2 linked regions of the Notamacropus eugenii genome follow. The protein of the gene in region 1 interacts with the protein of each later gene in a pairwise test. Links are inferred from orthologs where the notes say so. Each region holds a gene or a part of one and is shown on either strand. Other genes may lie near its edges.

What was found. The genes of interacting proteins can lie anywhere in the genome.
Region 2: the proteins of AIRIM (region 1) and PPP1R12C interact in binary tests that used the Homo sapiens proteins (3 or more experiments, as listed by UniProt). The two-hybrid records come from large-scale screens. The link is inferred for Notamacropus eugenii from reciprocal best matches to the Homo sapiens genes AIRIM and PPP1R12C.

What each region holds. Positions count from the first base shown.
Region 1 is NC_092876.1:81,541,854-81,548,908, reverse strand, and holds the start of AIRIM (AFG2-interacting ribosome maturation factor), read right to left. Parts: upstream 3,015-7,055; 5' UTR 2,929-3,014; intron 1-2,928. Other genes in the region: CDCA8 (borealin), read left to right, coding at 3,445-3,541. UniProt on the Homo sapiens protein: Part of the 55LCC heterohexameric ATPase complex which is chromatin-associated and promotes replisome proteostasis to maintain replication fork progression and genome stability.
Region 2 is NC_092876.1:17,780,869-17,787,699, forward strand, and holds the start of PPP1R12C (protein phosphatase 1 regulatory subunit 12C), read right to left. Parts: upstream 3,010-6,831; 5' UTR 2,995-3,009; coding exon 2,716-2,994; intron 494-2,715; coding exon 363-493; intron 1-362. UniProt on the Homo sapiens protein: Regulates myosin phosphatase activity.

The DNA of each region.
Region 1 (7,055 bases):
CTTATAGGGTCACAGCCTTCTGTCCTTGGGCCCATGTGGCTTAACATGGTTACCAATCATCTGTAGTTAGGCATATAGACATAAATGCCTATAAACCTTAAAGGTAAAAAAAAAAAAAGGCTGGAAAGGACTGCTAAACCACTATATGAGAGAATTGGAATTTGGATCTATAAGGGACAGGAAAGAACAACTGGGCTGAGCTCCATATGATGGAATTTAATAATGACACATAAAAAGTGTTATTCTTTGGTTTAAGAAAAATCAAATTCATAATAGCTTTGTGAAAAAAGATCTGAGAATTGTACTTGGTTGCAGGTTCACTTGGCATCAAGGGTGAAAAATGCTTATGTAGTAACTAAAAAAGCTAAACTTAAGCTGCATTAAGACACCCAACGCCTTAAGAGAAAAGGTCCATTGTATTCTGCCCTGATCACATCATATCTGGAATATTATATGTCTGGTTCCAGGTGTCACACTGTAGAAAGAAGGGCACCAACAAATTCTGGAAAGCATTAGAGACGGGCAACCAGAGTGGAGAATTTCAAGTTAATGCTACATGAGAATTGGTTAAAGGAACTAAGATGTTTAGCCTGAAGAATAAGACTTGGGGGAAAGCACAACAGGTGTCTTCAAAAAAAGGAAGTGTTCTAACATTTGGAAGAGAGATTAGAAGCTTTCTGCTTCTGCTTGGCCAAAAATGGCAGAGTTTGAGGCATGGAGGAGATAGGGATGGGGATGGGAGAAGGGGGGAGGGAGAAGAGACAGAACCACAGGGAATCATTTCAGTGACATGTAAAGAAAAACTTTCCTAACAGTAAGAGTTATCCCAAAGTGGAATGGATGGTCACAGCTCCTCCTTACTAAAGGGTTTTCAAGCAAAGGCTGGATTCCTGCTTTAGGGGGGATACTGTACAGAGGATTTTTACTCAGCTCTGTGTTAGACTAGATGATCTTCGAGATCTCATCTCCAAATGCCTATCACCAAAGGGGGTCTAATATGGAGGTAGTCTGGGCCCAGATAAGAATGATGAGGAAATACAGAAAACCACTAGGCCTACTTGGACTTGAGAAAAACACTTCCTCAAGTAAGGCCTAAACTTATGCCTCTGCTACATCCTCTGAAATAATACCTGATATTTTTAACACCTTAAAGTCTGCCAAGCTTTTAACAAACATTATGCACTTGACCCTCATATAAGCCTGTGAGGGAGCTACTACAGGTGCTATTAAATTCATTTTACAAAGGAGTAAACTGAGGCTAAAAAAGGTGATTTGCTTATAGATCACACAGCTAATAAGTGTAAGAATCTAGACTTGAACCCAGATCTTCCTGACTCCAAATCCAGAACTCTAGCCACTATACCACACTGCCTTTTACAAGGCAGAGGTCTAGCCACTAAAGCTAGGGTCAACAGGCAGCCCTAATTGCCCTCAGGTGTCCATGGGCCAAGACTTTAAGCTTCTAACCACAGTTCCTAGGTGCTACAAAAAGCCCTTCAGCACAGATCAGAGACAAAAAAATTCTCCTGGGGTGCAACTACTGGGCATAAGGGACAAAATGCTTGACTTGGAGAAAAGAATTCGGCCTCAGATACCGAGGACCTGTAGTTAGTAAGTGGGAAGGTCACTATCTTGCTTTTTTCACCTGTGAAATGAAGGCCTTTGTCTCCTTAGCCTTTAAAGTCCTTTCCAGCTCTAAATCTAAGATCTCCTGTGGTTTCACTCTAAGGTCACATATGGAAGATAACACTGAAAGAATGGAGAACTCTAGGGACTCACCTTTGCAGGTCTCCGAGACTAGGAAATTCTATTATGAAGGGAAGGGAATAAGCATTTAATAAGCACTTTGTTAAACACTTTACAAATATTTCATTTGATCCACAAAGAGCAGGAATTTGAAGGGGGGGGAGGGAGATGTCATTACCACATCTTGACAGGATTTGGCAGGAAGTCTCTACATAAGAATTCTCATATTTGGGGCTGTGACTAACGATTTACATGTATTTCTGGGACTAACGGGTACTCAGCTATAGTGTAACTATTTTGTTTTCCTCTTTTAATAAAACTTTTGCCTATAACATTTTGAACTGTGTGTATCTGCATGGGAGAAACTTATTCTCAGCATACTGGGAGTACTTTTCCCCAAATTTTCTAGGTAGGGAAGCTAAGGGAATGGAAAACATCCCCCAAAGTGTTTCTGTGTCCTTGCTATGCTGACAGAATCCCTAACGGGAGGGTTACAATGAAAATTCAGCTGCTCTTGAGATGGAGGAGGTTAGCCGTCAGGCAGCCTGGATGGAAGCCAAGTGGCCTAAGAGCCTGAGTCAATGTTAACATACTACTGACACTTAGATAGCGTTTGGAGAAGCCTCCTGCAGGCTAGGGCTCAGGCCCTACCTCTGACACCTGACTGGCCACGTGACCACCGTCAAGTCACTTCAAACTCTCTGCGACCTAAACAGCTAAGACAGTAAATCAAAATAAATACAGAACTGCGGCAGGCTCGGGTTGGTGGAAGGGCTCTCCGCCCTGGGAGATCCCGGCTGGACGACACCAGTATATACGAACATCACTTGAACCTCACAATCGTGTACATAAAGACAACTCCTGTTAATTTTCTTTTACAGCTGAGGAAACTGAGGCCCAGAGGGGGGAAGGGACCAAGGACGGACTTCGGTCAGGTCCCCGCTGAGGAGGCCTGGCTCTGCCAACGAGTCGCGGGGCCTCCTGGTCTCTGGGCCTCAGTTTCCCCATCCGTCAAACACTGGGGTCGGAGGGGGACGATCTCTGAGGTCCCTGAGGCCCTACCCAGGTAAGAAGGTAGGAAGTCTCCCTCGCCCTCTCAGCAATCCCCAACCCACCCTCCAGATCCTCGCCGCCATTTCCGACACCCCGGGAGTCTGGGGGCACAACCAACGCGCCACTCACCATGTCCTCCGAGCTTCCTGCTCCCCAATGCGCATGCCCGAGAGAGGCTACAACGGATAAAAAGGAGCTAAAGCAACTAGCTTAGTTTCCACACCCACAGAAAACACGTGACCCCTGCCACCAAACCTCCTGGGTATTGTAGTCTTGCCCAAGGATTGGCTGGTCCGATTGCGGAAGCGCCTGATGATTGGCTCTCCCGATAACCCCTCGCGCCCGCTCTAGAGCGGGACTTCTTATTGGCTGTCAAGGGGCGGTTGAGTTTGAATCCGCAGACCGAGACAGCGCCTCCATTTAACTTCCGTGAGACCGGTGGGTGGGCCCGATTTGCTCACTGCGGACTTCTTCGGGACCTGGTTCTTCTCGGCAGTAAGGGGTCGGACCGGAACAGTCTGCTTTTCCTCGGGCGCGGGAGCACTATCTGCTGGGGCTGACCTCTCCGGGTGCCCGACCGCCTCTCGCGCCGCCGCCGCCGCTCCGGTCTGCCGGGTCGCGCGGCCTCTTCTCCGCCTCGGCACCATGGCCCCGTCGAAGAAGGCCTCGAGCCGGACGACCAAGAAGAACGCGGTGCGGGGCAGAAAGCTCGCCTCTTTCCTCAAAGACTTCGACCGTGAAGGTAACTCTACAGGCCCCGGGGCCCGGAGGAGGGAGACCAAAGGAGTCGACTAGGTGCCCCCGCGGAGAAGGGGAGGGGGTGAGCGAGGCCGAGGCGGAAGGGGGAGGGGCGCCTGCGCTCGCGTTGCCCTGGTAACCGCGGAACGCGTCGGCGGGGGAGGGGTGAGCCCCGAATCCGCTACCCCCCCAGTTATTTACCTGCGCCTGCTCGGAGGGCGAGACGGGTCTTTCAAAGCATCTTCCCACACTGCTGCGGATACTGGGACCAAAGCAGAAACTGCCCCTGCCCGCCCGGAGCTGGCTTTCTTTCGGGGGAGAGGGCGACAGCGGTATGCAAATATCATATTAGTAATCTCGGGAACCTGATCGGAGCCCTTCCCCAGGACCCTTAGGTCCCCATGCTCCAACTTCCTGCTCTATGTAAAATCAGTACCAGGTAATGTGGTGGGGAAGGAGGGGTCGAAGAAGCAGAAAAGACATTTTTAACTCATTTTTGAAGGACACAAGGAATTCTTAACTGGGGGAGATGAGGAGGGAAGGGTCGCATTTCAGACAGGGGGAATTGTTTAATGCCAAGTCGTGAAAATGGGAGATGGGGGAAGGTCAGTTCGTCGGGATTGTAGTAGAGTATGGGGAGTGGGGTGACATATAATTAGGCAGGAAAGGTCTGTTGGATCAGATTGTGAAAGACTTTAACTTCCAAACAAGAGCTTATCCTGTGTCCCAAAAGTCTTAGTGCACTTTAAAAGCTTTATTAATGTCTCGTTTTAAAGCTTGCGATGTGTATTAAGACTTTTGGGACACCAAAAGTGACCAGATTGGATAAGTGTCGATCCGAGAGGTGTTGGAGTTTGAATGGGGGAGTGATGTGGTCAGACCTTTCCTTAAGGAAAATCCCTTTGGCTGCCGTGTGGAAGTGTAATCCTTTCGAGGAACTTTTTTGAAGTCACTGAGAAAACTCAGCAAGATGTGTTCTGAGCCCTCAGAGGGCTCCATGTATGGCAGAAGATATGAAACAAAGATGCAGTATTATAAAATTAAGCTCGAAAATGGGGGCTTTTCTGGGTTTTTTCGTTCTTTGTATCCTCCACCTTAGTGTAGTCCCTGGCATACAGTAGGTGCTTAATAAATGTTTGTCAGTTGATCTAAGCGTATAAGAAGCAGTACAGAAGGTTCTTTGAAGTTTGAGAAAGGGGAGAGACCTGGACTGGGGCTCAAAAGGTCTTTGTTTTCTTGGCATTGCCACTAACTTGTTCTATGACTTAGATCACTTATCCCTGAGACTTTGTTTCAGTTCTGGAAAATGAGAAGGCTAAAAATCATTCCGAGGAACATCCATCTATCTAACTATGAGACAGTGGTAATTATGTAAATGAGGTAAAAATGATTTCCCCACAGTACGATTACAGAAACAAAAATATTGCGTTGATTCACATTTACTTCAGTGTTTCATTTGCAGTTACTCATTAGTATAGAGACTCCTTTGAGAAGTGTAGCGCATAGCACGTCATTGCATCTTCTGTAATTCTTGCCCATATCCTTCCACACACCCTGGATAAAGGCTCTAATCATTATCCTGAAGTCTTTTTTTCTAGTTCTTTTAATGTTTTTTGAATACTAATGTAGCACTTAGACTACCCATCCAGTATCCCTCTAATTACATACCTAATCTTACCTCTTTTTCTTTTCAAATATGTTCTTTTTCTATATTTTACAACATCATAATCATATAAAGTTTGCAAAGTACATTACATATATTATCTCCTATGATTTTCACAACTGTCTATACTCTATCCTCACTGTGCATCTTTCCATTGGCTCACTCACAGTTTAGGTTTTTCAGAAATTATGATGTTTGATTCTCAACTACATAATACCATTGGGAGAATATTAGTATTAAAAAGATGGGCTTTGACAATAAGTAAGCAGCTTAGGGTAGTTGAAAATGCTACATAGTTTCCCAAATGCAATATGACCCAGTTTTCTAGTTAATTTTGAGCTCAAGGTAGACGTGTTATCCATCCAACTTCATGTTATTACATGAAATGATGTGCATTCTTTATACACTTAGGTTTTTTTCCCCTATGTGAATAATTAGATCAACCTCTTTCAAGTAGTCGTGGTTTTTATTAGGGAGTTTCCAACAAGAAAGCTGCCATAGGTATGCCGTAGTCCGTGATTGGTAGGTAGATGAAGCCACAAAGATAACTTTGCTCAGTGAACTTCTATCAGTATTTAAAAAGGCATAAAATAGGATGACACCCAAGCCCATGATTGACGCTAGACTTGGAGTCAGATTGATCTGAGTGCCTGCTCCAGCAGTTGACAGCTGTGTAACCACACACAGATCTTTTAGCAAGTATGAACCTCAGTTTCATCTGTAAAATGAGGATAGTAATACCTGTGTGAAGGATCAAATGTAAAGAACTTTGAAAACAATGAGGGCAATAGAAATGTGAATTGTTACGATTCTCCAAAAGTTTCTTGCCAATACCATGGAAGATGTTTTGTGCAAAGGCCAAACAGAACAAGGAGTTGGTAGATTCTGAGATTGGCTAGAGGCTTCTCTTTGGAAAGAATATGTAGGTTTTATTCAGCCCTGAGACCTTCTGCTATGCCAAACCTTGACTGGATATTCTTTAAGTTGAACAGTATTTAATGATGCTTTTTCCCTTATACTTGTTATTAACTAAAGAATTTTAGTTCTAGTACTTTTGTGTTCAGTTTCATTTGGTCATCCAGCTGAATGTTTGTCATCCCTTACTCTAGGAATGTTTTTAGAGTAATGTGAAATACTTGATCAGTTGCACAACTCTTACAATGCATGAGGCCCATATTAAAGTGAGGCAATTTTGTTAAATTTAATGTAATTCTATTACAGTTGCTGTTGTGATGGTTTAAAAAAAAGTTATTGCACAAAATCCTTAAATCAGAATCACTTGATTTGTTTCATTATTTTCATTATTTGCAAAGTTACATCCCTGTTTTTTTAAATAGGTATACCGAAAGACCCAATGTGGTCTGAAGGCTTTTGGTCTCCCAACCCTCAATAATTCCCATTATCTCTGAAATCTCTGATTCATTTTTGCTAGAAAAAGGATCAAAGATGACTGTTGATATTAGCATTCTTTTGTACAATGAAAGTGTGGTAAGACTGGAGTTTAGAATCTGTGTTTCAGTTCAGGCTTTTACCACTATCTTGCTATGGGATCTTGGCCATATTACCTGTCTAAACCTCAGCTTTCTCTTTTTTAAAATAGGACAGTAGTACTTGTCTTGGCTACCTGCCAGGTTTGTTGTGAGAAAAGAACTGCATGAACGTAAATCCTTCTATTTACATCGACACCTCGATCTGAGTGGCTAGACAGTTTCTTATAACCATCTCAGACAGTGTCTCCTATTGCCCCTCTTCCCTTTAACCCTAGGAACTGCTCTGCCTGAGGTGAGGTGACTGATTGGGATGCTGTAGAGCCACTTTATTGAAGGATGTATATTTTTGTAGGAGATCCATGGAT
Region 2 (6,831 bases), about 64 Mb from region 1:
CTTTTCCAAACAGGGGTCTCCCAGCCTCAGATCCTCGGGTCTTGTCCCACCCAGTTGGAGACAGGAGAAGAGAGAGGCCCAGAGAGGGAAGGACACAGTGACCAGCATCCCCAGGGCCTGAGTCCCTCCCCAGTACCCTTTCCCCCAGTAAACAGCCGAGAGTGAGAGCAAGCCTGGGAGGACAAGGAGACACCTGGTGCAGAATGCAGAGCCCCAGAGGCCAGGGGAGACGGAAGAGGTCTCCAAGGTGAGCCAAGGCAGGCCCAGACTGGGCACAGACTCGCCCCAGTGCACCCCCGGTTGGCTCCTCCAGCAGCCTTCTTCCTAGGATTACTCCCTCCCGCCAGGACCCAGAGTCTTACTGGGCGATGTCCAGGTATCCACAGGAGGCAGCCACATGCAAGGGGGTCCAGCCCTCATTGTCAGCTTGGTTGACCGAGGCCCCCTCCTCCACCAGGAAGCGGACCACCTCCAGGTTCTCATCAATGCAAGCCTGGCAGAGGAAGAGAGGAAGCGAGGCTGGGGGCAGGGGATGGAGCTTCTGACCCCTGACCTCCTGGCTGGCTACTAGCATCTCTTCCCTGGGGAACGCAGGCTCAGGCCTCTGACCGAGGCTTCCTCCAGGCCCCAGATGTTGGGGCCCTGGCCCCTTTCTCCTCAGAGACCACAGAGGTTAAAAATAGTGTGGGGTGTGAGATCGTTCCCTGTCCCTCCAGCAAGGCCTGTCAACATCTCTGGCCCAAGCCTCCCAACCTTGCTGGCTCAGACCCTTCCCTCCAGGCCCGGGTATCTGAGTTCCCAAAGCCCCAAACACCCAGGTGCCCAAAGGGGCAGAGGCCCAGGCTAGAAGAGAAGTAAGCACTCCCCTACCCAGCCCTCCCGGCCTGGAGAGAAGGCACCCAGGGCCAGGAGGATGAAGTCATGGAAACTTGGGCAGGGAGGGGGGGGCCAGGCCCACCCCCAGCCCTGGGAACGGGCTGAGCTCTGGGCTCCGTTTATTTCCTCCCCGATGTCATGGAGACCCATGGGGGGGAGGGGAGTGACAAGGGGGCTTCCCCTACAAGGACCTGTTGAGAGCTCAGGAGAGGGCAGGGAGTGAGCTCAGCCAACCAGTACCTGGGGACCCAGGCGGCCCACTCTCCAGTCCCTGCTCCCTAACTCAGACTCAAGCAGCTGATACTGGGGTCTCAGAGGAGTTGAGGGAGCACCCCACCCCCAGAGCACTGGAGAATGGACTGGGAGACAGTAACAAGGCATCCAGTGCTCCTGGCTGGGGCTGCAGGAAAGGGGAAGGGAAGGGAGACTGGGTGGGAGAGGACACTGGGACCTGGGACAGGAACTACACTGCCCCAGTGCTAGGAAAGTGTTTAGAGATCACAGAGCAGGAAGGGGGTGTCCAGAGAGGGCAATGGATGGCCCCAAGCCACACAGACCCCTACAAAGCAGGGGCAGACAGGGAAGGCTGGCCAGGAGCTCAGTGTCTGGGGCTGCAGGGCTTCTCAGCCCGGGGACACTTGAGGCCTAGAGCCAGTGGAGGGGAAGGGAGGGTGGGGAATGAGGTGATTTCTGATGCTGAAGCCTTTGAAAGGGAGGGGCTTTGACAAAAACCCACCTCCCAGCTCCCTCTGAGCCTTCACAGCCTCAGCTCTGGGATGCGGCAGGGCAGGGCCAGGGTGAGAAGGAAAACAGGGGGCTGTTTGCTCAAAATGATTGAGGGGAATTGTGTCCCCACAGCCTGCGGAGATGCTGGGAGCTTGGAAGGTGGAGGTGGTGCCCCTTGGGGAGTCTGGGAAGGACAGGGCAGGAGGCTGGACCAGGGCCCAAGGGCTAGAGACCATCAGAGGAGGGTCTGGCTGCAGGACCCTGGTATAGGAATGGGAGGAAAGACGATGGAGTGCCTCCGGACCCAGATTATGGATAGATGCCCTGCCCAGGAAAACCAGCAATACAGAAGTCAGGGGGCAGTTGGGAGAAGAGGACATAGCCAAGGACTGCTGCCATGAAGGGGAACAGGTTGGCCTGGGGGTAGAGATGGAGCAGGCAAACCGCAGGCTGCACCTGGGGCCACAGACACAGGACGAGGAGGGCAGAGGAGACCCCTCCAGAGCCAAGGGGGCACGGCTGGTGCACCTGAGGACAGGGCAGAGGAGCCTGGAGGACCAGGATGCATCAGACAGGCACCGGGGGCCAGTCCAACCCCCCATCGGACCCATGAGGAAGTGGAGGCTAGGAAAGATCAAAGAGGGGGTTCAGGAGTCTTCCTGCCCCTGGGGGGGGCTACCTCCTAGGGATCCCCCCACATGGCCCTGGCTTGGGTACTGACAAGGCAGAGCCGGCATCAGAGGAGGGTCGCTCAGGCCAGCCTTCCTTGGGCTCCCGGTGTCTACACCCAGGGGCTGGCACACAGTAGGTGCTTAAGGACTCCTGGTGCAGACACTGCCAAATAAGGAGTCCTGGAGGGAAGATGAAGGTGGGGCCACTGGCAGGAAGGGCCCTGCTTCGAGGGGGGCATCAGCGAGCTGGGAGGGGTCACACAAGTGGAGGGGGCAGTCTCGGGGTGCTGGGAGAGCGTGGGGGAGGGGAGGGGGAAAGGAGGGTCCCCAAGGCGGCCGGGCCCGCGGGGGTGCGGCCACAGAAGGTCCGGCCCGGAGCGGAGGGAGCCCCGGGAGGGAAAGGGGCGCGCTGTCAGGGCCCCCCGGACCCCCCGCCGCGCACCTGGTGCAGGGCGCTGATGCCGTCCGCGTTGGTGCTGTCCAGCAGCCCCGGGCCGGGCCCCCCGCGCACCATGGCCCGCGCCTCCTCCAGGTCTCCGCCGGCGCACGCGGCCAGGAACTCGGCGGCGCGCTCGAAGCGCACGGTGCGGGCCCGGGCCCGGCCCCCGCCGCCCGCCGGCTCCCCGGCCCCCGCCGCCCGCGCCCACTGCCGCAGCTGCTCCTGCCGCCGCTCCCGGGCCGCGCCCGCCCCCGCGCCCGCCTCCGCCGCCGAGCCCGACATCCCGGCCCGGCGTGGCCCGAGCGCGGGGATCCCCGGCCGCCGCCGCCGCCGCCGCCGCGCCCGACCCTCCGCGATCCCCCGATCCCCGGCGCGGGGGCCGCCGGGAAGGCGCCGCCGCCGGAGCCGCCGCCGCCGCCGCCACCGAGCCCCGCCCGCCGCGGGCCCCGCCGGGAGCCGTAGTCCGCGCCCGCGCTCTGCGCGCCTCGGGCCCCAGGCACGCCGGGAAGTGTAGTCCCACCGCGCCGACCCCGTCTGCCCCAGGGAACTCGGGAACTGTTATCTTGCGCATGCGCGTTCGGCGCCTCGGCCCCGGGGCACTGCGGGAAGCGCCGTCCCAGGCTCGAGAAGCGGGCAGAGCCTGGCAGGGGTGGGCGGGGCCCGCTTTCTATGATGTCTGCGCGTCCCGGGGCACGCTGGGAAACGGAGTCTGAGCGGTCTGTGGGCGGGGATGTTGGCTCAGTGCTCCTCCGCAGCCTGTTCGCATGGACGCCCCGGGACCTGGGGAGGGGGCACCCGAGGCTCCCGAGGGAGTACCCGGCTCCGGAGCTGAAAGAGCAGGAGGAAACGGAGGCCCCGGGCATGGGGCGGGGGGGGGGCAGCGCTGACCTCTCTCTGACCTCTGGCCTCCTGTAGTCTCCACTTGCCCTTTCTTCGACCTGCTCAGGTTTTCAGCCCAGTTCTCATCCCTGTAAAGGGCACCCCACCCGCCCAACCCCCCATCTCATCCTGCACTCCTCACTCTCCCCCCATGCAGGGTGGTGCCAAGGCTCTCCCTACTCTCCATTTCATTAAGCGCCCATTATGTGCCACAGCCCAGGCACTGGGTACAAATGTGCTATAGAGAGGAGATGACTGGCGAAGAGAAGGCGCTGGACAGAGGCAGAGGCGTGAGCCCGCGAGGAGCCTGCCCCATGCCTGGAGTCACCAGCAGCGAAGGACAGGAATCAGCAGAGGCAGCCCCCCGATGGGCAGATACAGTTACATTATCCAAGTTGGTAAGAAGTTGGCACCCTGCAGGTGGTATACAGGCACTGCTTTCACAATCCACCACCTGTACTTGGGAGGCAGGGAAGGCATGGGATCCATGGCCAGGACCTGTGGTGGGCACTGGCACAATGGACTCATACCCAGCCACTTAAGCAAAGGCATTGCCAAAAAGGTCCTGCCAGCCCTGGAGGACCTCAAGATGGTGGAGAAGTCCCAGGGTGGAGACAGAAAGTACCCCCTCAGAAGCAGAGACCTCCACAGATTTGCCAGACAGGTGGCAGCTTACCCACAAGAAATATTAGGATAAACCCTACTGGACCGATTAAAAAACTGCCTTATTCATTTAAAAAAAAAAAAGGAAAAGGAAACCTGAACGTCTTGAAGGAAACCTGTGCAAGGAACAGCAAGAAGGCTGGTGTTGCTGGCTTGTGAAGTACATGTGTAAGTATAAGAAGACCAGGAAGGTTGGAAGGGACCAGGTTGTAAAGGACTCTGAATTCCAAACAGAGTTTTACAGTTGATGCTGGAGATTAGTTCAGGCCCTCATTGTCTCTCACACAGACTGTTACCATAGTCTTCCAGTGGGACCATCCGACCAGGTGCCTCCCATCTCATACTTCACTTGGACTGGTCTCATCTTCAGCCTCCTTTGGAAAGGGGAGTGGTAACTTCCAATCAATGAGTATTCTCACACTTTTTCAAGTCCCAGTAGATCATCATCCATTCTCCAGCCCTCACCACCTGATTATTGCCACCCCCCTCAACCCTCCCATCCCAAATTCCACTCGGTCTTCCACTGTGCTCTCTGGAATGCCCATACCATAAACAACATATTTCATCTTAAAACTTCTCCTCTCCCACTCCTTCCATCTATTAGCTCTTACTGAAACCTGATTTTCCTCTGAGGACACAGCCTCCCTCACCCCCCTTTTCAGTATTTGTCCCTTCTCTCATTGTCCTTGGGTCATCGGTCAAGGTGAGGGAGTTAGGATATTCCTTGTTCCCCATTGCCACTTCTAGTAAAATCATAGAGTAAAATCTCATCCTTTAAGGTTCTTGCAATTCATTTCCACCACCCAATCAAAAGCCCAGCAGCTGTTGTTGTCAGATCTCCAGGCGCTTTTGTACTAAGGCACTTCAACAGACATGTTGACTCAGTCAGAAACTACCCACTCAGTTTCTTAACCTGCTCCCCTCCTCCACCCCATCTCAGCCACATGGCAAAGGTATCTTTGATCTTGTCATTACCCACAAATGCACCACCTCCACATTCAAAAATTCAGAAATCACCCTATCTGTGCTAGACCCATTCTTCTCTTCTCCCCTAGTGAACCAATTCAACTCTATACTCTCCCTTTCTCTTGAATCACTGATCCTCTTATCATTTGGCTGATTGTGCCCAACCAAGCCTCAGTCATTCACTTTCTTCACTCCTACACATATGCTGCTGAATGAAGGAGAAGAAGATAATGAAGCCATTCCAACTGGGTCCACTACAACTTTATGTTCCACAACCTCTATTTGACCCTCACTGCTGCAAGGCAATGCTGTTATACTTCCCTTATGTGCTCACTATTCCACTCTACACAGCAGCTCTTCCAAACCTTCTCATCCCTCCTCCAACCTCCCATGGCTCCCTCTTCTCCCATGTTCTCAGCTGAAAGCCTTATCTCATATTTTTACAGAAAAAAATTAGGCCTTTTGCAGTGAATTTCCTCTTCTCCCCTCTTCCCCATCTTCTATCACTCAGGTGCTTTCTGCCCCTCTCTTCTCCTTCAACCCTGTCTCACATGAAGAGGTAGCCTTTCTCCCTCTACAGGCTGAAGTGATCCCATCCATTCCATCTTCTCCAACAGACTGCCCCTGGTCATCCCCAATTCCTCACTTATCTTCAGCTTTAGCTTATTCTTTAGTGCCTTCAAATATGCCCCAGTCTCCCCCACCCTGAAAAAACTCTGAATTTTGGCATGGGGTTAGGACAGAATTGCCAGCAATTTCTGAAATGGCCCTAAACATACTTCTGCCATTTTCTGCTACGTATTTATGTGAAGCCATCACTTTCAGCATTGACGATTAGAAAATCAAATATCAAGGAACTCTGAAAACCAATGAAGATGCTCTATGTCCTGCAGTATCAAATATTCCTCTGCGATTTAATTCTTTATGTAAAAATAAACAAACACATCCATCTCATTAGTTTGTGAATTTGCTTTCATCTTTAGTAAACGGTAAAATTGTATGTATACCGAAGAATTGTTTTCAAATGAATTTATGATTTATTATCAGTAAATGTTTGATTTCTATACTTTATATAAATCTGGGGTTGAGTAAAAATCTCTTGGTCCAAAAGGATTCAAGGGTGGAAAAGTTTAAGAAACCCAGTTCTATACTACTTTGCTTGGTAATCTCATCAACTGTCATGGATTTAATTACCATGTTTATGCTAATGATTCTCAGATCTACCTATCCTTCCCCAAACTCTGCTGACCTCCAACTTTCCATCTCTAACTGCCTTTCAGATATCTCCAACTAGATGTCCAGGAGATAACTTAAACTCAAATGTCCAAAACAGAACTCATTAAGTTTCTCCCTGAATCCTCACTTCCCATCTTCCCTATTACTGTAGATGGCACTATTATCCTCGCAGTCCTTCAGGCTCAAAACCTAGGAGTCATCCTGGATTTTTCTCTCTCTGCTACCTCCCATATCCAATATGGTACCAAGGCTTATTGATTTCACCTTGGCAGCATCTCTAGAATATTCCCCCTTCTCTCCTCTGACACTGCCCCTACCCTGGTATTATTGAAGTATCTGCTGGGAGTGGGGGAGGGGTTGGAAAGCTCTCCCTGC